Xenopus tropicalis: one gene and its partners. The protein of the gene in region 1 binds, or shares a complex with, the protein of each later gene. Links are inferred from orthologs where the notes say so. Each region holds a gene or a part of one and is shown in the gene's direction. Other genes may lie near its edges. The genes, in order: alyref, chtop, ddx39b, thoc3, thoc1, thoc7 and thoc6.

Region 1 (4,231 bases):
AAAATTCACTTTATATTACCTTTAAGTGCAATATACAATGCCACGTCTCACCTTGGTGGTTCCTGCATCTTACCCATCCCCACTCCTTGTGCCTCATACCACCTTCTCCTTTTAGATCTATGGCCTGCTTTTCATCCTGTTTTGATTAGTATTCTGACATTTTTCTGTGTAGAAAACTCTATCCTTATAAACGGCACATTCTGAAATCACACTGCACTATTTATAACTTAAAGTAACACTGAAACAACATTTTAATAGAGCAGTGCCACACCAGTACACAGGCGCGGGCCAAGCTGTAGGCAACCCGGTCAGCCACCTCGCCCCTGCACCTTTCCCCACCCCCCCTCGTGTGTGCTTTGGCCTGCATACGCAGGCCAGGGGTAGGCAGGAGAGGCTCCTGCCTGGCGCCCCCAAATCGTTGCACCCTAGGCAGCTGCCTCTTCTGCCTACCCCTAGTTTCGGCCCTGCCTGTACATCAGAAACATGGAAGGGCACGAGGCAAAGGGCCATATTTTCTAGATATATGCGTGAGGGCCCATGAGGGCCAGTGATACCCAACCAGTGGTTTGTGAGCAACATGTTTCTTCCCAAACCCTTTGGATGTTGCTCCCAATGGCCTCAAAGCAGCTGCTTATTTTTGAATTCCTGGATTGGAGGCAATCCAAACAGAGCCTCATTTAGGCTGCCAGTCCACATAGGAGTGTGGCCCACAGGTAAGAAAGGTTGGGGACCCCTGCTGAAAGCGCTGGGGGGGGGGGAGCGGGGACCCCTGAAACTTGTAGATTGTAAATAATAATGTACCCCCTACTAAAATGTAAAAGTATTTTAGAATCTACTGAGGTCTATAAGCTTTATAAATGGCTTTGTTCCTTAGAGAGAATGTTCTCTCTGATTCACTGTTCATTCAAAAATGATCTTTTGTGTCCTTTTAAAAACCAAGGAGGTGGATCAGAATACATATAACATATTTTTCACACAAACGTCTGTGATTTCAAATATACTTATAAACCACACAAGGGACTACATTTTTTATACATGTGCATTAAATAATCAGCGTGTTTGGCGTTCCAACATAATTGTGGAACAACGTGAGAAGTATCGTAATTAAACACTTCCATTTCAAGATACAGGGGAGCGATCGGTATAGAGGCGCTTGGAAAAATCTGAAACTGATGCAGCTCATTATAAATAAACTTTATTTTCAGTTTAGGCTTTAGTCTCCCACCTTGAAACAACTCGTGGCAAGAACTGAAAGAGAGGTTACTTTTGTTTGTTAGTTTAAATGTTAGCCTAACCCGGCGGAAGTGACGCAGGGAGTGCCGGATATGCGGGGCGGGGCTATTTAAGCGCGGCTCACACCGGCTGGATAGTAGTATTGTTCCAGGACAGGCCGCATCCGAGCACGCTACACGGTTAACTTGAGAAACATCGCCGCGATGGGGGACAAAATGGACATGTCTCTAGATGATATCATCAAGCTTAATCGGAGCCAAAGACCGGCCGGAAGGGGCCGGGGTGGAGGACGGGGTGCTCGGGGCGGGTCGGCCCGCGGAGGAGCCGGAGGCCGAATTGGTGGAGGCCGCGGAGGAGGAGGAGGAGGAGCGGCGGGAGGCGGAGGGCCTATGCGGTCAAGGCCTGTCCTGACCCGCGGCGGAAGGAACCGGCCCGCACCGTACAGCAGGGTAGGAGAGGCGGGGGCAGGGAGGGCCTGTGGCCTTACAAAGGCGCCGGTGACCGGAGGAGGCAGCCGCCCGGAGAGGTTTCGGTGTGTGCCCGACCGATCAGCTGCTGGAGTGGTGACATCCATGAGGCCCGGACCGAGGAGCTGGGGCCCGGTCTGAGAAGGTTTGCGCAACGGGGGATTATGGGCCTGGGGCCGCCCCCTGTGTCCGGCGCTCCGTGGGGAGGGGATAGCGTATCCCGGAGCAGCTTCTCCCGGGTGTCGGCCTTCTGGTCCGGGCTGGGCGGGTGGGATTGGGCCCCGGGAGCCCGCGCTTCTCTAGTTCCTCGGTAACAGTAATAGAATAACATAAGATTCCCGCACTTCCAACATGGCTGCTACTGCGGGGGGTTGTGAGTATAAGTTAGGGGGCAGCGCTCCTGGCCGAGGCTTATACAGCTCTAAGCGCTAATCTCTCCGTGAATTTCTGTAAATGAATGTTAGTTCCTTAGATTTTCTTGTTGTTAAACATGGAGATATGAGCTTCACTTTTGTTCTGAGGCTGAGCCAAATGTGGGCCCTAATCATACAGTGTAGATAATCCTAGTGCCATTGCCAGGCCTGGGAGTTACAGCTCAGCTTGGAATATCTTTCCCACCTGACATTTTTTATATCTGATAAATGTTTTTTTCCAAATGGGAAACCCAGTTGTCCTACAGCTCATGGAATTGCTGTGCTGCAACAGTGTTTGAGCAACTGCACTAACAGTTAGTGTTAGCCGGGCTTAGGGTGGGGGGTGTTAAATGTTAGTCCCCTAGTGCTTATAATTGCTTACCCGATACCCCAGGCCAGTACCCCTGTTCCCTAAACACTGCACCAGCCTTAGAGAAGGAAAGGTACAACCACTGGGGGGGGGGGATATTGGACATCCCTGCAGTGATTGTAAACGCTTACCTGAAACCTCTGGGGGTGCTCCTGTAAGGAGAAAACTGCACCAACAAGGGGTTAACTGCATATGGGTGAGTGGAAAACCAGCTTTTTTTTAACTTTTGGCTTTTTGCTCCACTGGGCATGCTCAGACAGGAGGACCCCTTTGTCTGCACCCGACTGGTGCAGTCTCACTGAGGGGGGCTAACATTCTGGAATGTTTGTAACTTTCATTTTAAGTGAACAGGTGCACCGGCCCAGGGTATCTGGTAAGCAGTTATAATCACTTTCCTTCTCTATGTATGGAAGCTGCCAGAGCTTTCAGCTGACTACCAGCCACTCTTGGTAGTCTCTATAGAAATTGTGCCCATGGTTCAGTGTTTTGGTGTGTACAGGCGTAAAGCTGGTAACATTTGTTGGGGTTGTGTTGTAAAAGGATATATTTATATATAAGGGATGCACGCTACACAATGAGGTGTTTTCATGTCATGATGCTACATTATACAAATGTCCAAATACATTTTATTTTTTTCCTTAGAAAATTTGAGTCCTTGCATAGATCAGTTAACCATTAAACGGTCATGCCTTCACTATTTCTTTGCTGAACTATGGCTGCAAGTAATACCATATTACCCTGCAAGTAATAGCAATGCAAATGTTTAATCCCTAGATATTACTAAAAAGGATAAAGGGGAAATATTCCCCTTTATTGCGCAGCACAAGTGAAGCTGAAATACTAGTACTTTTACTAGTAGATTAAAGCTACTTTGTTGTTTTTATTTGGAAGTAGATAACAAATTCATTGATAAGTAGATATGTTTTGCAGAGGGGTATTGCTAGTAATCAACTGCCTACTTTACAAGAACCAAATGCAGCTGGGGAACCACTGGGCAAGCATGTCGCATTGTTATTCATTCCTAGTTAGCGCAGTCCATTAAACTATATGCTATGCAGTTATGGGATCCCTTATCCAGAAACCAGTTATCCAAAAAGTTCCAAATTACGGAAAGTCCATCTCTTGCATTATGAGCAAATAGTTCTAATAAAAAAATAATTTTCCTTTGTAATTAAACTTTACCATGTACTTGATCCTAACTAAAATATAATTAATCCTTATCAGAGGCAAAATAAGCCTGTTGGGTTTGTACAATATTTAAATTATATTTAGTAGACTTAAGGTATGAAGATCCAAATTCCAGAAAGATCCCTTATCTGGAAAGCCCCAGGTCCCAAGCGTTCTGGATAACTGGTCTCATGTACTTGTAAAGGTTAGTTACTAAGTAATGCTGCACTTCTCAGGCAGTGAAATATAAGGTAAATGTTGGCATACAAATTTCTGTTTTTGCAGTAAGGACCATTTACCAAACCCTACTTTAGCTTATGTTTAAGAATGCTTACCCAATGGTAGCGTCATGCTTTTTGCAACTTGCAATTTCCAGGAGGTCAGGCACCATATTCCACTACTGTGCATGTTCCAGCTTCTCCTAGCAACTTATTAGCATAGCATTACTGGTATTGACTGGCAATTGACATTATATTGTAACATACCCCCCTGATGTCATTGTAGATGCACGGAAGATTCCCAGCATGCGTTTGTGCTAGATTAAAGGTGGCCATACACAGGCTGATTGTAGCTGCCGTTAT
Region 2 (3,001 bases), on another chromosome or scaffold:
TCTATATATCTGTAACCTTGTTATGGGCTAAGGGGGCCCAGCCTGAAGGCCAGTTAGGGGGGGATTTGGGGTGAGTGGGTATTTGTGCCCTGGGTACCCCTGGAACTATAGCGGGGTGACTGTTACCCCAATGTTTCTATATATCTGTAACCTTGTTATGGGCTAAGGGGGCCCAGCCTGAAGGCCAGTTAGGGGGGGATTTGGGGTGAGTGCTTATTTGTGCCCTGGGTACCCCTGGAACTATAGCGGGGTGACTGTTACCCCAATGTTTCTATATATCTGTAACCTTGTTATGGGCTAAGGGGGCCCAGCCTGAAGGCCAGTTAGGGGGATGTATAACTATGCTGAACACTAGTATCCTGTTGGCATCTGAACCTCACAGACTGAGGGCATGAAGTATATAAACACCAGGTTGGAAGATACAGTTGATTGTAGCTGAGGAGAGGCCCATGGTGAGGCAGGGGTACACCCAGGCATTACTAAGCGCCTGAGTAGCAAGCAGACAGAAGCAGTAGATGAGTGAGGGGAGAGGCAGAACTACATAAGACACCATTATTAATACACAACTTTTTTTGCAGGTACAAGTGTAACGATCCGCCACGGTTCACCCAACCAACCCAGACGGGTTCCGGGCCATTTGGGCTAGTATGCCAGAGTAACTGTAAAGTAATAAATATATTATATGAAGCTTTTGCCTCAGTGAGATACCAGGCTGATACAGTATCTGATGGTATCCCATGGCCTCTGTGTTGGCTGATCCTCTGATTAATACTAAGTGAGGCCTGACCTACATAGGCTCAGCGGAATCGTATAGATGCCTCCTTGTGTCCTGTTACAGTGAGTGGGGTGCCTTACACTGCCCCCCTCTATTGCTTGGCAATAGGGACTCCGGTGCTTGGACTGGAGGCTGTGTAACATTCTAGCACCAAAGCCTCCGTCCCTCGGCCAAACGGCCAGGAACATGACTGTGTAGGGTGGTGCTGTGGTGGCACCGCTATATCTCTGATTGGAAGAAACTGCCTCTATAGAGGCTGCTCATTGGCTCTCGGGCTTCTGTCTATGGATGTAGCTTATGTTACTGAATTTCCCTGCCTAACACTGTCCCTTTCTCTCGCTAGAGCCTAAAGCAGCGTCTCGGTAAGAGCAATATCCAGGCCAGGCTGGGAAGGCCGGTGGGAGGTCTCGTACGCGGAGCCATAGGGATGAGAGGAGCAGGAATGGGACTACGAGGCGCACAGAGAGGGATGATGCGTATTGGCCGCGGGGGGAGAGGAATGGCCAGGGGAGCCATGGCTATGAGGGGTTAGTTCTGGATTCCCTGCACCCTAACACTGCCGGGTTATGGAACGTGTAATCCTAACTTGTATCTTCTCCTTCAGGGCAGAACCTCCGAGGCCGAGGTGGAGTAGCCAGAATGGGTCTGAGGAGAGGGATGCGGGGCCGCGGGGGTCCCGGGAGGGGAATGATGAGAGGGGCTATGGGCCGAGGCGGTATGAGTGCAAGAGGTAAGTGACGTGATCCTGTACCTGTGTAGTACATCAACCTTAGGGCCTGGCGGTACCAGATAGATAATCTCCTTAGTATATAGCCCCTGGGTATCTGTGTGTCCCAGTCATCTGTATTGATAGATGTGTTGGGATACTCTCCTTAGTATATAGCCCCTGGGTATCTGTGTGTCCCAGTCATCTGTATTGATAGATGTGTTGGGATACTCTCCTTAGTATATAGCCCTGGGGGGGTCTGTGTGTCAGTCATTGGTATTGATAGATATTTTGGGATACTCTCCTTAGTATATAGCCCTGGGGTATCTGTGTGTCCCAGTCATATGTGTTGGGATACTCTCCTTAGTATATAACCCTGGGGTGTCTGTGGCCAATGATCAGTAGGCAGGACTGGTTGCACCTGAGATCCTTACTAAACTTTACCCCCACCTCCTGGCTGTGTGCCTTAAGTGGTAGCCCCTTACTGAGCCTCTTTCCCTCTGCGCAGGACGCGGGGGCATGACCAGAGGGAGGGGCTTTGTGCGCGGCAGAGGACGAGGGAGAGGAAGGGGCGTGGCCCGCCCAGCGATAACCAAGGAGCAGCTGGATAACCAATTGGACGCGTACATGTCAAAGACCAAGGGGCACCTGGATGCCGAGCTGGACGCCTACATGGCACAGGCAGACCCCGAGTCCAACGACTGAGCCGCCGAATGTTTTTATATATTTCTAAGGAACAGACTCTTACCAGCACGCGCACGACTGTGCCACGCCTCCTTTTGGTACCGCCCCCTGGTTTTAGCGTTCCTTTTACATTTTTCATACCTATTTGTTCTTTTGACTCTATTTTATTAACCATTGAATGTACGGAGGCGAGCGACAGGTTGGCACACTAAGTTCCCGCGGCCCCGTGCCGCCCCTTGGGTTCGATTGCCGTCAGTTTGTGCAAAGTTTACGTTGCCCCTCGGTATGCTGCTGCACTTGGATACCACTCATAAAGTTTTGTGCGTTTTGTAAAAACTTGTTTTCTGTGGGTTTGTATTGTGTGGTGCTGTTCCGGCCATTGTCGGGGTGCCTTTATTTATAAGGGGGCTGTATTCAGGATCGGACTGGGGGTGCAGGGCTTACAGAGGAGCAACGGGGCTTTATTCAGGGTCGGACTGGGGGTGCAGGGCTTTCAGAGGTGCAACAGGGCTTTATTCATGGTCGGACTGGGGGTGCAGGGCTTACAGAGGTGCAACAGGGCTTTATTCAGGGTCGGACTGGGGGTGCAGGGCTTACAGAGGAACAACGGGGCTTTATTCAGGGTCGGACTGGGGGTGCAGGGCTTTCAGAGGTGCAACAGGGCTTTATTCATGGTCGGACTGGGGGTGCAGGGCTTACAGAGGTGCAACAGGGCTTTATTCAGGGTCGGACTGGGGGTGCAGGGCTTACAGAGGAACAACGGGGCTTTATTCAGGGTCGGACTGGGGGTGCAGGGCTTTCAGAGGTGCAACGGGGCTTTATTCAGGGTCAGACTG
Region 3 (4,054 bases), on another chromosome or scaffold:
CAAAAAAATGAACCATGTACATAAGTATAAAAAATAACCTAATAGCAAAATGTCATGCTATTAATGTCCACTAACTGCTTACATGGGCAGGTCAAAGTCAAAATGTTTTATTTCAAGCACTATGCTTTTTAAGAATCATGCATTAAACGCTACAGACAAAATACTCAGGGACTGAAAACTGTACAGCAGCACAGGTCCAGTCTTCTTGAATGTTTGCAGTTCTCCTTTAGAGGCAGATCCCTCACCTACAAGAGTGTTGCACTGACCTGATCCTATCCAACCTACATGCACCCTCTTAAGGGAAGGGAAAAACCTTTAGAGATGCTTAATTTCACATGGATCTAGTTAGCAAAAAGATATTTGTTTTTGGTCAAACTAGGAAGGGGGAAGCTTAGATGGGAACTGTTCTTGTTGGCAACTATGAAAAATGTGGGTTTATTTGTTACCTGGCACAAATGGGAGCTCTCAGCACTGGGAAAAAAGATGACAGCTAGTGATGAGTGAATTTTTTCTCCAGGCATAGACACTTGGCAAATTTCTGCATTTCGCCATTGGTGAATTGTTTTGCGAGACTTCAAAGAAAATTTGTTGTGCATCAAAATAGGCACACTCGCATCTAAATGTGCAAGGGCGACAAAAAAAATCAAACACGTTTTGCAGATATTTTGCTAATTTTTCGGCAAAGCAAAACGGGACATATTCGCTCATCACTAATAATTGCACTTTTTATTTAAATATTGGGCTTGGAGGCTCTAGTGGTCGTGGTGCTATAGCTGCTAACAGAAAAACTGTTTTGTTGCCTGGCATATGTTTGAGTTGTAGTGAACAATAAAATTGCACTTTTGCACACCTCCTAATGTCTATGCACTGGCCTTATACGATTAACCCTAGAGTTGCTGACTTTCCCTTGAGCCACAAATAAAATGCAATCAACTCAGCCGCCACTTAAAACAAAGAAAGAACGTTTATTACAAGAATGCTTAATTGTTTAGGTTCGGATCCCCTGTAATTATTTTTGTATTATTGCTAGCAGCCACCATGGCAAACCGCATTTATTTTTTGATTTGTCTGTGACCTGCACATAATAGAACTTATTTCTACAATCGTATCCTTCACTACCCAACACCTTTCTCGATTCTACCTCCTCCGCACACTCCACAACCGGCTGAGTTTCGCGTCACCGCGCTTATATAACTAAAGTGTGACGTCACGATCCCGCGAGATGAGACTGTGATGTGACTCTAGTGAGAGCGGGCCTTCTGGAACCGAGGAATTGGACGTCAAAACGGCGTTGTGAATCCTTTAAAGAGATTATTATCAACACTTAATTAAGAGGTAGCGTTTCTGGGTACAGACACATTACCCGATATTGTCAATCTATGAGATCAGTTAAAAGGAGACACGAACGGCCGGAGATGTATGAACATGCCGAGTGACACCATAATAAGTCCCAGTAATAGCTCACAATGTTGCACAGGATAAACAAAGGATAATAGCAAATTGGGAGATCGATAAATAGAGCAATTATACGGGTGGAAACCCCTCTAAACATGAAATTACATTTTTCTCGGCCTGGGCTCAGGAGGGATTGGGGATGGAGCAGAGTCATTGAGGCTATTGCTGTAATAACACATTTTCATCCCACCTCACAGCTGTATTTATTCTAGTGATGTGGCAGGAACACAACACAATAGTCGCGTATTCATAGCGTATCTTATTTAAAGAGGGTACATTTCTCAGAAATATCTGCTTTTTCCTCAACTAATATTGCCACATATGATAGCAGCAACATATGTTAACCCACATTTTGGTACAGCACGTCAGAGCTTTGGTCAGATGGGAATGTATGAAATGAAACCCCTTGAATCTCATTCAGACTCAATACATGTGATATCTAGGTGTCCTTGTGAGCTCCTGGATCCAGTTTTATCCAACTGCACTTCCACAGAAATGTGACATTTGCACAAAGCTAAAATTTCACTCCAAACACAAAAAGTGTAATGAGATAAGGCTGTTGGGAGGAGGACAGCATCAGTGAGCCAATGCATTCCATATCTATAGATTTTTAAAGAGTAAAGGGAAGTTAATCTTTAATTTCCTGCTCTGGTACAGGTAATGTTTCTCTGGCAGCATATTTCAGGAGAAACAGTCTATACTTCTCCATACTGCCTGTTACAACCAAGATTTTATGTCCCAGGATTTCAAATTTTCCCGGAATTTTAATGTGGTCCCTTTCAGGCCACCTGCATTTTTTTTCTTTCTCAGATTTAATGTTTACCTGGAATGTATGCTGTTCTGATATGGCCCCCTGGGAAACGTAAAAATGGGGTTCTACTGCAAGACAGATTTAATAACATACATAGAGAGCATTTTTACTCTTTGGTTGTACTGGCTCTATATTTTTTTAATTTCATCAAACTGATAATTTAAAAAGTAAAGGTCCCCATACACTGGCAGATCCGCTCGCTTGGCAATGTCACAAAGCGAGCGGATCTTCTCCCAATATCCCCCACCTACGGGTGGGCGATATTGGGAGAGTCCAGGGTAATCCGATTGTTTGGCCCTGGGGCCAAACTATCAAATTATAATGACGGGCAAAGGTAAAGTCGGTCCAGGGACGACATCAACGAGCCGATGCGGTCCCCGATCCGACTAGATTTTCTAACCTGTCCGACCGAGATCTGGCCGATTTCAGGCCAGATATCGGTCAGGCAGGCCCGTTGGAAGTGCCGATACACGGGCCGATTAGCTGCCGAATCGGTCTAAGGGACCAATATCAGCAGCTACTATCGCCCAGTGTATGGGGACCTTTAGTCTTCCAACCATCCTTCATCTGTTGCTTCTGTACTTTTTTTGTGTTCTAGATATCACTTCTACTCGCTAAAAATGGCAGAGACAGATGTAGATAATGAACTACTGGACTATGAAGACGATGAGGTGGACAACCAGGCTGGAGTGGATGCTCCTGACATAACTGTCAAAAAGGAAATGAAGGGATCATATGTATCCATTCATAGCTCTGGTTTTAGAGACTTTTTGCTCAAGCCTGAGCTGCTTCGTGCCATTGTAGATTGTGGCTTTGAACATCCATCAGAAGGTAAGAGAAGGGAAATGGGAATCTGTTAAAACTACAAAGGTCTGGTAATGTTGTCGCTGAGTTAAAATGATAGTTGGAGTGTTAATTCTGGTAAAATGAGAAGCTAAGTTTGGCATGAGCATATAGCTCATATTTTTGTATATCATCTTCTAGGTTTAGTAATGTGATTATTGCAGGATAAGTTAAGCACATACTTCCACCCCCCCCCCCCCCCCATATAGTCACACAAAGGCCACCTTCCCAAAGCACTAGGCATGCTCTCAGTGCTTCTATTTAAAATGTGTCCCTGTATGTGACACCACTTCAGAGAATTCATGTCAGAATGCTGTCACTGTCATTTTTTTTGTATATTTTACATATGAAAATTTTATTTACTCCAACAATTCTTGTCAAACCCACTGCTAAAGTAATTAATATACCAAATATGTATAATTACTGTATTTAAGAGTTCCCCAGTAGTATACTTTTTTTAATGAAGCCACTCCTGTTAAATATTTGTTCCAGGAGACTGCCTGGCAGGATGATAGGCACACCCTGTGCCTTTATGCATTTTGTTTCCTAAAGAAAAGTTTTAGACATCAGCTAAATGCTGTTCCTGTATAAATAGTCATCTCGTCCACTAAAAAAGCAAAATTAAAAATAACACAATTGTTGAAACCAGAGCTTTGAGCAGCCAACATTGTTGACAACTGGTGTTGCCCTATAAATGGTTTACATGGAAGCCCAATTTTTTTTTTTTAATCTTTGTTTAAAGTCCCTGTGTGTGCACTCTATTCTTCATTTACATAAACTCCTGGCCAGCACCTGGGGCAGTTGATTGTTTGTAGGGAGTGCTCCTTTTGTTTCTTTTATTTATTTATATATATATATATATATATATATATATATATATATATATATATATATATATATATATATTGAATAATCAGTCTACTACATGGCATATGTTTGCACTTC
Region 4 (4,176 bases), on another chromosome or scaffold:
GTGCGTAATGACGTCACATGTACACACGGGGCGCAACCTTATAAAAGGGCCAGGGACCGCCGGCGAAGGAGCCACAGGAGAGAAGCAGCGCAAGGAGTCGGAGCGCGTATGGGGGCTCTGTGTTTGGGGGGCTCTGTGTATGGGGGGGCCTCTGTGTTTGGGGGGGCCTCTGTGTTTGGGGGGCTCTGTGTATGGGGGACTCTGTGTATGGGGGACTCTGTGTATGGGGGACCTCTGTGTATGGGGGGCCTCTGTGTATGGGGGGGCCTCTGTGTTTGGGGGGCTCTGTGTATGGGGGGCTCTGTGTTTGGGGGGCCTCTGTGTATGGGGGCCTCTGTGTATGGAGGGGCACTGTGTATGGGGGGCCTCTGTGTTTGGGGGGCCTCTGTGTATGGGGGGCACTGTGTATGTGGGGGCACTGTGTATGGGGGGCACTGTGTATGGAGGGGCTCTGTGTATAAAGGGTACTGTATATAAAGGGTACTGTGTATGGGGGGTACTGTATATGGGGAGGCTCTGTGTATGAAGGGCACTGTGTATGGGGGGCTCTGTGGGCTTCCTTAGGTAGTACAGTATGAGGGTATAGCACATTTGCATCTGATCCCACCATTTCAACTATATAAAAGGAGTATTTTTAGAAAAAAATGGGGTGTGTTAATTGGGGCGTGGTCACAAAAGTGGGCGTGGTCAAAAATTGCCCCTCTTTTTGTTTTTCAAATGTTGGGAGGTATGCATACATTATCTATGATACTGCCAATACCTGTCATACTTTCCATGTATAACCATACCGTGGGGACCTCACTTTAACCACCTTTTCTTAGACTAAGCACCCATTACTGAAATGGCTAGCTCGAAATAACGAGCTAGTTAAATCAGAATGAGCAGTGTTTGGAGACCTAGTAAATAGCGTGTCTCCAGCCACCTGGATCAATATAAATTCTAAATAGATAAAAAATGTATTGGGAGGAGAGATGTTTTCCCAAACATCTGTGGGGCCCCTTCCCTCCGTCAGCCTCCTGCCACCTATACACTGCCCGCAGCAAACAAAACTACCATGTAGTAGACCCACCGCTCCCGGTCCTCTTGTGCCCTGGGATCCACCGCAGCCGCAGGCGGATATTATACCATTAATAGTTCTGAAACTGCGTTGCTTATAAAATAATAATCTTTTTTTTTATAAAATAATATAATCTTTTGTCAGTGCTTATCGATACCAGAGTTTTTCCACTCTAGTTGAATTAAAACTTGCAAAACAACCAACAAAAGTAGGTTATGTATTTATTTAAATAGAAAGTAATGTTACACGGCACTACTACAGTTTATAAAAACGGGGGCTGCAACTTTTAATAAAACTTCCACATGATAAAAGTATCTTCTAAACCGGTTGTGTAATGACCCGGAAGTCGACTCTGTGTCGCCAAGGTAACGCGGAGCCGGAAGTCTGCTGTGGCCGTTGCTTCCGGTTAAGTACCATGTCTGTGCAGGAGATACAGGAGCATTTCAAAACCAATAATAAGACCCGAGAGTTCTCGGCGCACAGTGCAAAGGTTCATTCGGTGGCTTGGAGCTGTGATGGGAGGCGCCTGGCGTCGGGCTCCTTTGACAAGACTGCGAGCGTGTTTGTGCTGGAAAAGGACCGGCTGGTGAGTAATAGCGCCAGACAGAGACCCAGGCGTGTGTTGGGGTCGCTGTCGCATATATATGTATATATATATATATATATTTTTTTTTTTCTATCATTTCTATCCTATCTGCATACCGTTAAACTGCACTGGCACCCAGGTAGTATCTGAAACACAACCAGCACCAAGGGCCTTGTGGTTCAAACAAATATTGGTGTATTATAATTGCATGTACAACTGACGTTTCGGTCCCTTTTGGGACCTTTTTCAAGGTACCGAAACGTTGGTTGTACATGCAATTATAATACACTAATACTTGTTTGAACCACAAGACCCTTGGTGCTGGTTGTGTTTGATTTGGTGTCTATTTGGTATTCCGTGCCCAGGGGCAGCTACATTGTAGCAACTTTCGGAGTGTGGTGCTGTCGTGTTGACTTGTATGTATGTATGTATATAAAAAAGATGCTAGTAAGCAGCACACCATTAGTTAAAAGTTGATACCTGGGTGCCTGTGCGCAAAAACAATATACAGGCTCGGATGACGGCACACACAGGATTTGCACATAGAAGTCACTGGGTCAAATGAAAATTAATTGCATCAGAGGTTTATTAATTCCAACATTTCAGCTCCCTGACGAAAGCTCCTGTGTGGAGCTGAAACGTTGGAATTAATAAACCTCTGATGCAATTAATTTTCATTTGACCCAGTGACTTCTATGTGCAAATCCTGTGTATGTATGTAATTATATATATATATATATATATATATATATATATATATATATATATACACACACACACACCCCTTTCTGTGGTGCTGCTCAGCATTGAGGTGGGCTGCCAGCCCAGTACATTCCCACGTTCAGCTTCTGGGGTTTCTTTTGCATCATAATCAAAGCTTTAATAACTTCTCAGTCTGCTTTAATCTGAAGTTGAGAGACAGTGAGTAGCATATACCTACATTTACTTTACTCAGTGTCCCCCGCACCCACAGGGAAGTGCTGTCACTGTATGCAAGGGGTGTATATGCTATCTCTGTCCCTTAGTTACTTTTCTCTAGGTACTGAGTTACCTTTCCTCCCCACTACAAACACATACCAGCAGATTAGGAAGGACTGTATTTTTTCCCAGAAAAGGTGGCAGCCCTACAGCAGATTAGACCATAGTGTATGTAAATGTGATAGGGATTTTTAGATTGTTAGCTCCACTGGGGACAGGGACTGACATAAATTTGATTTAATCAAGGGTAATGGAATATGTTGACATTATATAAATAGAAATAAAAAAATCCCAAATTACTAAAAGGTTGCACACTGTCAAATCACTTTTATTAAGGGTGAAGATCCTCTGCCCAAGACGTCTGTGTAGGCCTGCAGAATGAACAGATCGTTGCCCAACCCAAGTCAACATTCTAATCACCCTCATTTGGCCTAGTGTGGGGTCAGGCTATTAGGCTGAGATTTACTCATTTAGCTTTCTGATGAAATGAGCAAATTGTTTAGCCAGCTTTACATGTACTTAGACCCTTATGTCTCTAATAACAGTCACCTGATTACAGAGCAACAAAATCTCAAAATATTTTATCTGTGCCTCTTTTTCAAGTTTTTAGTTCTAAATTCTGTGCATTTCCATGGCATCTGTGGTTGTGTTGCCATTTGTGCATGTTAAAAGCAAGGAAAGTGTTTCTTACCGGCTTATTCCCACTAACAGATTATATTGAGCTGAACCTAATCGCTAAGTTATATTATGTAAAAAGTGCCTCCCTGACTTACATTCACTTCTTTTGTTGCGTGGTCTGTATCGCTAAGCCACGCCGCCATGTTTTTCTGAATTACATGATGGATTATGAGTTCTGCAGTGTCTCTGTGCATGCGCCAACATAATCTGTCCCCTTTACCCTGCATGTTGCTGACTCATTCTTGCTCACGCTGACCAATCCTGCTGCTGACTTGAAAGTGATACTGACACGAAAAAACAACTTTTTCAAATCTAAATCTACATAAAAAGTTGGCTATAGGTTGTGTTGATCATTTTTTGCTGATAGGGCTGCTTTTGTAAGTAATTGTTACTTGAAATCCCAAAACCTGACTGTTTTGCCAGCCTGACTGTCCCTTCTCAGCCTGTCAGTTACAGCTTCTAATGCTAACGGCCTCCTGCTGGACAAATATGGCAGCCCCCTCATAGAGGAACATGGGGGATCAGATAGGGAATGTAAAAGCATTGGGCAAATACTTTTATGGCAAAATTATAAATAGCATGCAAAGACAATGTTATGACAGATGTAAAAATGGTTTCATTTCTGGTGTCAGTATCTCTTTAAGGCGCATGCTCCGGTCTTGGTCTCAGACCCTACAGAATTATGGGTAATTTGAAAGGAGAACTCAGCCTTTTTTTTTTTTCCCCAGTGCACTGCTGCAGGCAAAGGACTCCGCTCAAGGTGACTTTGTCAAATCGCGCCACCGTGTATGCCATCCCACCAGTGGTTTACATTCTAGCTGGTGGAATGGCATTTTGGGGAGATCCTCGTGTGTCACAGCCCTTAGGGCTGAACTGG
Region 5 (3,500 bases), on another chromosome or scaffold:
GCAAGTAACACTTAAGCCTTTCTTACTGATGAGCTAGGATACACCCATGTTGTTAAACCAGTTAATTGTGATTGTCAGCTGCCACACCTATGTAGAAAACAAAAATGTACAGATACTTAAGGTATTATTGTAAATACTACTTATAAATAGGGCATAATTTATCTTAAAGAAGAAATAGTCTAAAATAAATATAGCTACAAATGTAGGCAGGTATACAGCTATCTTATAGACTGAACTTACTGTACCAACTCAGCAGCCTACCTGTGCATTCAGAGTTAACTATAGTTCCCCAAATCTTTAGTCCATCTTTTTAACATCAGTGACAACACACTTGCTTAGTGTTCAATGGGCTGTTGTTAAGCAGATCAAGTTATATTTGCTATAGTAACTAATTCTACAGGGCTTATTATTATTTTACTCGACTTTTACACGACTTTATCATTATTTTCATTATTTAAAGGGAGTGTCACATTTTAGTATGGTAGTTCCCAGACTGTGGCACTATCCTAGGGGTGTCAAGAGAAGGCAATTTAGGGCAAGGTTTGAGGAGAATGCCTTTTACTACATGCCCAAGGAAAACAAGATTTAGGGTCAGTTTGGGTGCATGGATTTGTTGCAATGAACTCCTGGCTTGAGAATTATAATGCACAACCAACGCATTTTCTCTGCACCTGTAGACTGTGAGCTGTGAAAATTCCTGGTGTTTTGTTGCTGTAACTTTATCTATAAAACGATCAGAGACCAGTGTGAGTGAATACACTGTTATAGATCACAACCATAAAGAATATCGGGACAGTAATTGTTAATGGTATTGTATGAGGTTTTGGAAATTATATTTTTTATACATTTAGATCTCTTAAGAAGACTATCAAAATCTCAGAACACAGTTTTCTGTGGAAGGATTCAACTATTTCTTGCACGACTCTTCCCTCTCTCTGAAAAATCTGGTAAGCATAATGTCACTGAAGTGGAATTATTGTTTCTACTGACCAGTTAGCTGTATAGCACTGATTTTCCACTGTGATCTGTTTGTGCTTTATTAAAGGCTTGAACTTGCAGTCACAGTTTAATTTGGAGAATGTCACTGTATTTAATGCCAATGAGCAGGAAAGCACATTGGGACAGAAGGCAAGTGTTTTTTTTGTTTGTTCATTCTCATGTTATCCTAATGCTTGGGATAGCATCCATCCATTGTTCCTAGCACCCGTTGAAAGCCTCTGGCTATTGGCTGGGAGCTTGGCATTATAAATCATGTATATTGGATATTCCTGGAAGTTAAAGTGCTGGCTTTCACACTTGCACGCAACCTTTGCTGCCATGAATTTTGTGTTTATTAGGTGGAAGAAAAAGATGACGGGATGGAGATTGAAGAAGGGGAAATGGGAGATGATGATGCACCTAATAGTTCGTAAGTTTACTTGAAGGAAAACTATACCCCCCATTTTGATGAGCACATTCAGTCTGCACTCTGGCCAAGGGCTAAGCACAGGTGACAAATAGCCAGAGAAGCTTAGTCTGCTTCTAAGAGTATTCACATTAGGATGGGTGACCTCTCTGTGGTCTTTACTTTATGTAAAGAAAGTTAAGAAAAATTGTTTAGGAGCCTGAATAATGGGGCAGCTTTGGGTTGATCAGTCGCTGCATCTGGCAGAATTGGCCAGGTCCCCCCAGCATTGTGGTAGCAAATGCCAGTGTATTGATTCCTTGTGTGTTTGTTACACTTTGTGGACATCATCCTTACAGCACTCAAATGTATTTTACAGATCTATCCCCATAGACTACAACCTGTATAGGAAGTTCTGGACACTTCAAGACTTCTTCAGGAATCCTGTGCAGTGTTACGACAAGAACTCCTGGAAAACCTTTCTCAAAGTACATAAATCTCATCTGCCTATTCTACTGACAATACAACATCTTGCAGAATTTTGGCTTTTCTTCTTTACTTTATTTATTTTCTTTTTCCTTCCTTCCAAGTCTGTGAATATTGTTTCTTGTAGTCCTCCTTTTCCTTCAGCTTTTCCAAACATAATTATCTAAACCATTGTTGCTGACAACTGAACAGTTGGGTACTTTTTAAATCTTAATGTGGTGCGTTTCTGTTGTGTTAGTTTTCAGATGAAGTTCTTACTGTATTTAAAAGTTATAAGCTGGATGATACTCAGGCATCAAGGAAAAAGATCGAAGAGCTAAAATCTGGAGGAGAACATGTGTATTTTGCCAAATTTTTGACCAGTGAAAAGGTAATTTCTTGGTATTCCTTGAAAGAAATGTATGATTCCAGTTAACCTCATTATTATCATTGTATCATTTATACAGCTAAAGGGGTGGATCATGTTCAGGTTAACTTTTAGCCTTTCTCCTCTGCCTCTTCTCTGGCTTTTAAATGGGGGTCACTCACCCCAGCAGCCACAAACTATTGCTTTGTGATAATATTGTTGTTATTTTTTTATTACATATTCTATGTAGGTCCTCTCCTTTTCACATTCCTGTCTCTTTCACACCACTGCCTGGTTACTAGGGTAAATAAGACCCTAACAACAAGCTGCTGAAAAAAAACTAAATAACTAAAAAAAAAAAAAACATTCAAAATAGAAAATGAAGACCAAATGCAAATTCTTAAAATATCAGTGTCCACATCACACTAAAAGTTAATGTAAAGGTGAACTACCTATTTAACCTTTTGCCTACCACTGTCTATGTTTACAAAATATTTTCTACTCAACATTAAAGCTATAAATTCTATTTGCTTATAAACTACACTTTCCAGTGTGGTTTCAGAAGTCATTTATTGCATTTACTGTTCATTTTTTGACTAGAACACGTGTTATGAGTGACAGAGACTGCAAAGAGATTTCTGTGTTTGATGTTTTATAAACTATGCATTTTTTTGGTTTGGCTTTTCTTTACATTCAATTTGTCAGTTACAGATCTTTAGAGGCAGCATATATTATGTTCTCAGACTTTAAGAACCTGTGCTATGCTTTGTTGGTTTCAGTTAATGGATCTGCAGCTGAGTGACAGCAACTTCCGTCGCCATATATTGGTTCAGTACCTTATTCTGTTTCAGTATCTAAAGGGACAAGTCAAATTTAAAAGGTAACTAGTGGAAATGAAATACCTCTTATGAATCTATTGGGCAGATGGCACACACTTGCATTACTTTATAAATGGCATAATCTTGTGACCTGTGCGGACATTTAAACAAAATGAATGCGTTTTGAGAGAGTTATAATTTACGTATGTGTGAAAAGTCCTTTGTAACAAACATTTGGTGTACACTGGTTTCCAGCCGTTTCCAAGAGATTAAAGAATTTGGCCCATTTATAGAACAATGCTTAGAAAATAATTCTATTTTATCTTTTCAGTACATAGTAATGCAAAAGAGCATAATCTTATGCCAAAAAGTGCTGTTCAAGGTCTGTTGCGTTGCACATACTGTACCTCATCTGCCTAAAGACCCTCTTACGTGACATTTTCAGATTGTGTGTTGCGTGGCCATT
Region 6 (3,500 bases), on another chromosome or scaffold:
CACCTCCCAGTTAACTAAAATGTAACATTTTTCCCTGGCTGTTGTGCATCTTCTTTTGAAAGTGCACCCAAGGTACTTGACTAGGATCATTGGATAACTAGCCAAAAACTTGACAACTTGCTTTAGTCATCTGTTCAGATGAATGCTATAGCCCTATCTGAACTATGCATTCAGTTCTATACTTCTTATGTTGTGTTGTCTTCTTATGTTGTGATCCATAAATCAGAAAATAGATCCTGACTACTGTAATGTCATCACTAAGCACTGTTAGTCTATTAAGTGACCTACTCTGAATGCTCGCTAAATGCTCAGTGGGTGCACAAGCTGCCTTCTTACCCATCTCTGACAGGTTAACACAGGTCCTGAATTTGAAAAGTAAAGTATATATGTACAGTCTGGACTGCAGAGCTTGTCTGCCACATTACTTCTAATTTTTAGCTCTGATGTTGGCTTAAAGCAATTGGGCTACCATCCATGGGGCAAGTTGAGTACTTTGTCTTAGGCGACAGTGAACTGCAAGTTCCAGGGGCAGCAAAAAGCCACTCTTGGTGTCTTTAAGAGACAGAATTCTGGTTATTAAACTAAATTTTGGCTCTTTTAGTGCAGAGAGCTTGATTATGCCCTTAGTGATGCAGCCCATCTTTCACCCTCTCCAATGCAGAACCGCCCCTGAAAGCAATTAAGTTGCACTTTAACTAAAGTTTGATCTTGACAGATTCTTCAACTTGCATGTAAAATATTGTTGAAAAAAAAATTACCTGTCCTTAATTACCAATCTGAAGTTGGATCAATACATAGTATCTTGAATAGTAATTGTGTTTTTGTTGTGCTTTTATGTACAGCCAGTACCAACGCATGCTGAGCTCCTTGTCTCAATGTGAATTTTCCATGGGAAAAACACTTCTAGTGCATGATATGAATCTGCGGGAAATGGAAAACTATGAAAAAATATATGTTGATATAGGTAAGGCATTTTACCAGTTTAAATAAAATTTAAGTAAAATATGGCAGTTTGTTGTTTTAGCATTTTTTCCTGGTTTGGCTTTTCACGCAAAGTGAAAAATTGCGCCTTGGCTCTGGAAGGTACTCTTGTGTGTTTAATGTCATTAAGCTTTTCTAAATTGCTGTCTTAAAGATGTGATACCTGCTACAGGCCAGCCATTTATTGGCTCAAAATTTAAACAAACCATTCAAAAGCATACTATACCAAACAGTGGAAAGGTACATCCCAGTGCCTCATGGTGCCCACTCCTAACGCATTTCGCACCATTGGGTGCTTCATCAGAGGACAATGACTTGGCTGAGAGCCTCTTTAGCCTAATATGGGATCATAACTATTTTATTTCCCCTCACACTGTATGGAGGTTTGTAAGCACTCCAGGGACCCAGCTTTCCGACCTCCCCACTCCAATACCTCTCCTTCAGCGAGGAAAAAGCGGAGCCTTATTGGTAGGAACTGTCACCAATATATAAACCTGCTAAAAAATGTTTATATATTACGATATGCTGATGCTGTAAGTCTCACAAGTCACACATTTCCTCCTACTGATTGATTCTAGCAGTGCACTACAGACATACAACATGGTTGGGTTGTTTGCAGCAGGAAAGCTTCTTCTTCCGGGTAATAGTTTCCTACCACACTCTAAAATATCCAGACTTCAGTAATCATGTGTTTTTTTAAAAAAAAAATTTCAATTAAAAAACAGTAGGCTGAATATACATTTTAATACATTATTGTTGATATTGCTAAGCTTTGCTGACATCTTTACTAAACTTTCTAAACGCTCAGTTGACATAATTTCACCATTCAAAATATATCTTTTCTTGCATGTTCCAGAGAGTAGTATTGCTGCAGCACATGAGAAAATTGCAGAATGCAAAAAACAGATCTTGCAAGCCAAGCGAATCCGAAAGAATCGCCAAGGTAACATAAATAAATAAAGAACTAAAATTATTTAAATGAGGCTGGCTTATTTTGTTGTAAGTGAAATAAACCCCTACTGTGTCTGTTATGCACAGATTCTGATAGACACTACTGGTACAGGTATGGGACCTGTTATCCAGAATGCTCAGGACCAAGGGTTTTCCGCACAAGGGATCTTTCTGTAATTTGGATCTCCATAACTTAAGTCTGCTAAAAATCAAATAAATATTGAATAAACCCAATAGGATTGTTCTGCCCCCAATAAGGGGTAATTATATCTTAGTTGGGATCAAGTACAGGTACTGTTTTATTATTACAGAGAAAAGGGAATCATTTAACCATTAAATAAACCCAATAGGGCTGTTCTGCCCCAATAAGGGGTAATTATATCTTAGTTGGGATCAAGTACAGATACTGTTTTATTATTACAGAGAAAAGGGAATCATTTAACCATTAAATAAACCCAATAGGGCTGTTCTGCCCCAATAAGGGGTAATTATATCTTAGTTGGGATCAAGTACAGATACTGTTTTATTATTACAGAGAAAAGGGAATCATTTAACCATTAAATAAACCCAATAGGGCTGTTCTGCCCCCAATAAGGGGTAATTATATCTTAGTTGGGATCAAGTACAGGTACTGTTTTATTATTACAGAGAAAAGGGAATCATTTAACCATTAAATAAACCTAATAGGGCTGTTCTGCCCCAATAAGGGGTACACTAACACCAAAAAATGAAAATGTATCAAAGTAATTAGAATACAATGTACTATCGCCCTGCAATGGCAAAAGTTATGTGTTTGCTTCTGAAACACTACTGTAGTTTATACAAATAATGCTACTGTGTAGCAGAGGGGTAGCTATCCATATTGAAATAGGGCTAAATGGCACAAGGTTACACTGCAGATACAGCTCTGTAAAACACTATTGTATTCTACAAAGCTTACAGCATGAAGCAACATTAATAGCCCTGTATAAACACTGCAGGAAATTAGTTGATGTCTAAACATTGTGATGGTCAAGGTATGATAAGTATCTCCAAAAGGGGCATACATAGAAATATGTTAGCTTTAACCTACAGGTTTTCAACAGCAATCTTGCAATTTTTTATCCCCTTTTTAATTGTACTTAATATAAAAAAAAAAGTTTTAAAAAAAAAAAATCATTGTCATTTTGTTTACCAGAATATGATGCATTGGCCAAAGTTATTCAGCAACATCCAGACAGGCACGAAACCCTAAAGTAAGTACTCTACCCGTTGTATTTGCATGCACGCCCCTGAAAAATTAAAGGGAAATAAATATATATATAATTTTTATTTTTCTTCAGTTTTAAAGCAGTTGAATGTGAAGCAACAGCTCCACCTGCTGATCCTTTGGCTGCCAGACACAATTGGCAGAAAATTGAGTTAATGAGAAGGGGAAAGTTTTTTTTGATGTTGCTCTGCTCAGAAAATGAAGTTATCAAGAAGTGCCATCTGACATTTCTATGGCCAGTTCTAAGCAGAACAACATCACAAGACTTTCCTCTTCTCACTAACTTTTGCCAACTGTTCCCTGTTCAGCTAAAGTGACC
Region 7 (3,500 bases), on another chromosome or scaffold:
TAACACCCAGGAGTTCAGCAAATGCTGCTTTAAGTAGCAATTACATTTACACATAACTTTTAAAGTTGGAATTTAATTGAAAAGTTGCTTAGAATCATGTTTTCTTTTATTAGGCACACAATTATTTTTGGGGTTGACATGATATGTAATGTCCCAGCATGCAATAGATTTAGGTGCATTATTTACACAGCGACAGGCAGGCTGCCATTTTGTTTGCTGCTTAGCCAGCAGAGGGCGCTCCTCCCCTCCTCCTTCATAGCACAGAATTAGAAAATCCTCTTTCGTTAACCAAAACAGCCCTTGAGGCCCTGCCCACAGCCTAGAAAAGGGAACGAGGGAGCCCAACTGTGGTTACTCTGGCAGGTACCTGCTAACCATCTGTCTGTGCCTAGGAATGCGCTCGGCCACAGTACGGGAAATGGATCAGCTGCTTAACCACCGACTCGGATTGGATGGTAAGAACCGGCTGGGGGGGGTGGGATATGGTTTAACCACCGACTCTGATTGGATGGTAAGAACCTGCTGGGGGGGGGGGGGGATATGGTTGGTGCACCTTTGGGGTACAATCAGGGCCACCATTGGGGGGGAGAGGGGGTACAGTTGTGCCAGGCCCCGTGAAATCTTTCTTAAGGGGGCCCGGTGACATTGTGAAAGTTACGCAAATCGTGTAAGTTACACATAAAGTTATGCATACAAAGAAAGTTACATGACTTATGTATAAACTCCACTGACCAATTAAAATACTGACTTAGCACAATCATTATTTTGGCTATTTTTATGAACTACTACTGACTAGTTATTGGGCCCCTTAACTAAAGGTGGCCATACAAGGGGCGATTGTAGCTGCCGATATCAGTCCCTTAGACCAATTCGGCAGCTTATTGGCCCAAATGACGGGCCTGTCCGACCGATATCTGGCCTGAAATCGGGCAGATATCGATCGGGCAGGTTTAAAAAATTTAGTCGGATCGGGGACTCATTGATGTGGTCCCCGAACCAACTGCACCTTCACCCGTCGTTCTAATTAGCCTGAATCAGCCCGATATTGCCCACCCCTAGCGTGTATGGCCACCTCAACGCCGTTTACGTAACTTATGCAAAAACGTACGTAACTTCCATATCAAGCAATGACAGCACAGAGCCAGGAGCAGGTAGGTGGGAAGGGGTTAAACTTAGGGCAAACCCCACTGACCCCCAATAAACTGAATGACTTATTAGCACATTAATCAGTGGAACTCTTTATATGATCTGGGCCCCATATAAATAACTCCCATAAGTTCCTGATGGCGGCCTTGGGTACAATCAGTGTCTGTAAAGGTGCAGGGTTTCTAGCCTTGGAACAGTAATATCCAATGAGGTCCAGCCTTGTGTGATTGTGATACCCATGGATAACCACGGGACCCTGTGTGGCTTTGTCACCGAGACCCCCCAGAGCCACGCTGTGTGTGAGTGACGGTCTGGATGTGTAACAGTTTCTCACCCCTAGGTATGTGGCGGGGGCCCCAAGTTGAGTCTTTGGCACCTTCGCTCCGTGACGCCAACAACCATTTTCCCACTGAATGAGAGTCAGCAGCAGGTCATGTTTTACCAGGACATGGTAAGTGAATTGTTTCCAGCACTTATCCTGCTCTTTCCTGACCCCCTTCTCCCCATTTAACCAATCATAAACCTTTGATAAATGGCACTGTGGCCCCCCCTCCACCTCCCATGGACCTTGCGTCTGCTCCATCTCTTCCTATAGATTCCCATGCACTTATAACTCCTATAATTTCCTATTTCTCTCGCCGCCATTTTCTCTCTCCCCAGATCCTGTGCGCTGGGCAGGGCCCCTATGTTAATCACTGTCAGATAAACGGGGACATCAAAGCGCAGATTCCCAGCACCCCTCGCTGTGTTTACTCTCTGAGCGTCAATGAGGCATCACAGGAAAATAAGGTAGGGATGAAAGGCTTGGAGGCTGGGCTTACTGGGAATGTTGATATTTAGGTGAGGGGCCTGGGAGCTGGGGGCAGGTACAAAGCAAAGTGAGAGGGGACAGTGTAGGGGGATGAGATGCAGCACCTACAGGGGTGAGAGACCCCTTTATTCTTGGTTAATTTGCACTCTTTTTCACTTTCCAGGTCCTCACAGCCGCTGGCAGTGGCCCCAAGATTGATGTATTCACCAACTTCCGATACCGAGCGTTCTCTCTAACTTTCACTTAATTTCTATCTGTTACTGAACACTCTTTTTTTTTTTTTAACTAAACCCAGTCTGTCCTATACTGAGCCTTTTCATTTTATCCTAATCTGTCCCTCTCTGAACATTCTCTTTCATCTAATCTCAGCCTACAGTACATGGAGTATCCCTTGCTGAGGATCCTTGATCAGACTGTCCCCAACTGAACATTCCCTTTCATCTGAGCATTCTCTTCAATCTAGTCAGAGTATCTTCACTTCACTGAACATTGTCTTTTCTTCTAATCTCACTGAACATTCTATTGCATCTTATCCCAGACATTAGTACCCTGAGCATTCTCTTCCATCTAGTCACAGAGTATGTTTCACTGAACATTGTCTTTATTCTAATCTCAGACTGTCCCTCACTGAACATTCTATTTCATCTTATCTCAGCCAGTAGCACCCTGAGCATTTTCTTCAATCTAGACCAGGGGTGGCCAAGACGTCAATCACGGTCCACTAGTCGGTCCCCCGTGGATTCCTAGTGGACCTCAACAAAGCCGGGAGATGCAAAATTGCGGCGTGAACGCGTACGTATGCTGCATCTTGGGGGAGGAGTCACCGGTAGATCGCCGATGGACGAAGTCTGGCCACCCCTAATCTAGACTGTCTCTCACTGAACAGTCACTTTTATCCCATACCAGACATTAGTACTCTGAGCATTTTCTTCCTTCTAGTCACAGAGTATCCTTCACTGAACATTGTCTTTCTTCTAATCTCAGACTGTGGCTCGCTGAACATTCACTTTCACCCAATCACAGACTGTACTAGACTGAACATTGCCTTTGTCTAATTATCTAATCTCAGACTACCCCTCCCTCTAAACATTCCCATTCATTTAATACCCCCTATAGTACAGTGAGCATTCTATTTTATCTATATTCAGACTGTCCCCAACAGAACATTCACTTTGATCCAATCACAGGCTGTAGTAGACTAAGCATTGCCTTTGTAATATTTTATCCCTTTTTGGAACATTCTAGTTCGTATAATCCCAGGCTGTAGTACACTGAGCATTCTCTTCCATCTCTCACTGTACAAGTTGGTGCTGAGTCACATGGTCCTACCCCAGACACCTACAGTTAATTCTGTCCCCAGGTTTAGGGATACAAAAGTTCATTGTATTTCTAGCACAAAACTATCAGTCTCACCTTTCTGCTTAGCCCCATCCCTGCGATACCCAAGCCTCCAACTAATCTGTTCCTTCCTCCGGCCTCTGTAAGGCCCAGCATTGTCTCCCCTCCTACTGGCCTGTCATTCTATCCGTTCCCCCTCAGCACA

What was found.
Region 2: alyref (region 1) and chtop share a complex: the UniProt entries of both Homo sapiens proteins name them as parts of the transcription/export (TREX) complex. The link is inferred for Xenopus tropicalis from reciprocal best matches to the Homo sapiens genes ALYREF and CHTOP.
Region 3: alyref (region 1) and ddx39b share a complex: the UniProt entries of both Homo sapiens proteins name them as parts of the transcription/export (TREX) complex. The link is inferred for Xenopus tropicalis from reciprocal best matches to the Homo sapiens genes ALYREF and DDX39B.
Region 4: alyref (region 1) and thoc3 share a complex: the UniProt entries of both Homo sapiens proteins name them as parts of the transcription/export (TREX) complex. The link is inferred for Xenopus tropicalis from reciprocal best matches to the Homo sapiens genes ALYREF and THOC3.
Region 5: alyref (region 1) and thoc1 share a complex: the UniProt entries of both Homo sapiens proteins name them as parts of the transcription/export (TREX) complex. The link is inferred for Xenopus tropicalis from reciprocal best matches to the Homo sapiens genes ALYREF and THOC1.
Region 6: alyref (region 1) and thoc7 share a complex: the UniProt entries of both Homo sapiens proteins name them as parts of the transcription/export (TREX) complex. The link is inferred for Xenopus tropicalis from reciprocal best matches to the Homo sapiens genes ALYREF and THOC7.
Region 7: alyref (region 1) and thoc6 share a complex: the UniProt entries of both Homo sapiens proteins name them as parts of the transcription/export (TREX) complex. The link is inferred for Xenopus tropicalis from reciprocal best matches to the Homo sapiens genes ALYREF and THOC6.

What each region holds. Positions count from the first base shown.
Region 1 is NC_030686.2:27,893,665-27,897,895, reverse strand, and holds the start of alyref (THO complex subunit 4), read left to right. Parts: upstream 1-1,431; 5' UTR 1,432-1,436; coding exon 1,437-1,682; intron 1,683-4,231. UniProt on the Homo sapiens protein: Functions as an mRNA export adapter; component of the transcription/export (TREX) complex which is thought to couple mRNA transcription, processing and nuclear export, and specifically associates with spliced mRNA and not with unspliced pre-mRNA.
Region 2 is NC_030684.2:144,115,430-144,118,430, forward strand, and holds the end of chtop (chromatin target of PRMT1 protein), read left to right. Parts: intron 1-1,118; coding exon 1,119-1,302; intron 1,303-1,379; coding exon 1,380-1,505; intron 1,506-1,989; coding exon 1,990-2,186; 3' UTR 2,187-2,501; downstream 2,502-3,001. UniProt on the Homo sapiens protein: Plays an important role in the ligand-dependent activation of estrogen receptor target genes. May play a role in the silencing of fetal globin genes.
Region 3 is NC_030684.2:74,210,165-74,214,218, reverse strand, and holds the start of ddx39b (spliceosome RNA helicase DDX39B), read left to right. Parts: upstream 1-1,254; 5' UTR 1,255-1,335; intron 1,336-2,864; 5' UTR 2,865-2,886; coding exon 2,887-3,097; intron 3,098-4,054. UniProt on the Homo sapiens protein: Involved in nuclear export of spliced and unspliced mRNA. Component of the TREX complex which is thought to couple mRNA transcription, processing and nuclear export, and specifically associates with spliced mRNA and not with unspliced pre-mRNA.
Region 4 is NC_030679.2:45,416,968-45,421,143, reverse strand, and holds the start of thoc3 (THO complex subunit 3), read left to right. Parts: upstream 1-1,376; 5' UTR 1,377-1,391; coding exon 1,392-1,643; intron 1,644-4,176. UniProt on the Homo sapiens protein: Component of the THO subcomplex of the TREX complex which is thought to couple mRNA transcription, processing and nuclear export, and which specifically associates with spliced mRNA and not with unspliced pre-mRNA.
Region 5 is NC_030682.2:108,269,980-108,273,479, forward strand, and holds part of thoc1 (THO complex subunit 1), read left to right. Parts: intron 1-851; coding exon 852-947; intron 948-1,045; coding exon 1,046-1,128; intron 1,129-1,337; coding exon 1,338-1,408; intron 1,409-1,763; coding exon 1,764-1,872; intron 1,873-2,108; coding exon 2,109-2,240; intron 2,241-2,995; coding exon 2,996-3,096; intron 3,097-3,500. UniProt on the Homo sapiens protein: Component of the THO subcomplex of the TREX complex which is thought to couple mRNA transcription, processing and nuclear export, and which specifically associates with spliced mRNA and not with unspliced pre-mRNA.
Region 6 is NC_030680.2:145,037,704-145,041,203, forward strand, and holds part of thoc7 (THO complex subunit 7 homolog), read left to right. Parts: intron 1-842; coding exon 843-964; intron 965-1,837; coding exon 1,838-1,924; intron 1,925-3,109; coding exon 3,110-3,167; intron 3,168-3,500. UniProt on the Homo sapiens protein: Component of the THO subcomplex of the TREX complex which is thought to couple mRNA transcription, processing and nuclear export, and which specifically associates with spliced mRNA and not with unspliced pre-mRNA.
Region 7 is NC_030685.2:12,479,742-12,483,241, reverse strand, and holds part of thoc6 (THO complex subunit 6 homolog), read left to right. Parts: intron 1-392; coding exon 393-455; intron 456-1,486; coding exon 1,487-1,597; intron 1,598-1,806; coding exon 1,807-1,935; intron 1,936-2,120; coding exon 2,121-2,204; 3' UTR 2,205-3,500. UniProt on the Homo sapiens protein: Component of the THO subcomplex of the TREX complex which is thought to couple mRNA transcription, processing and nuclear export, and which specifically associates with spliced mRNA and not with unspliced pre-mRNA.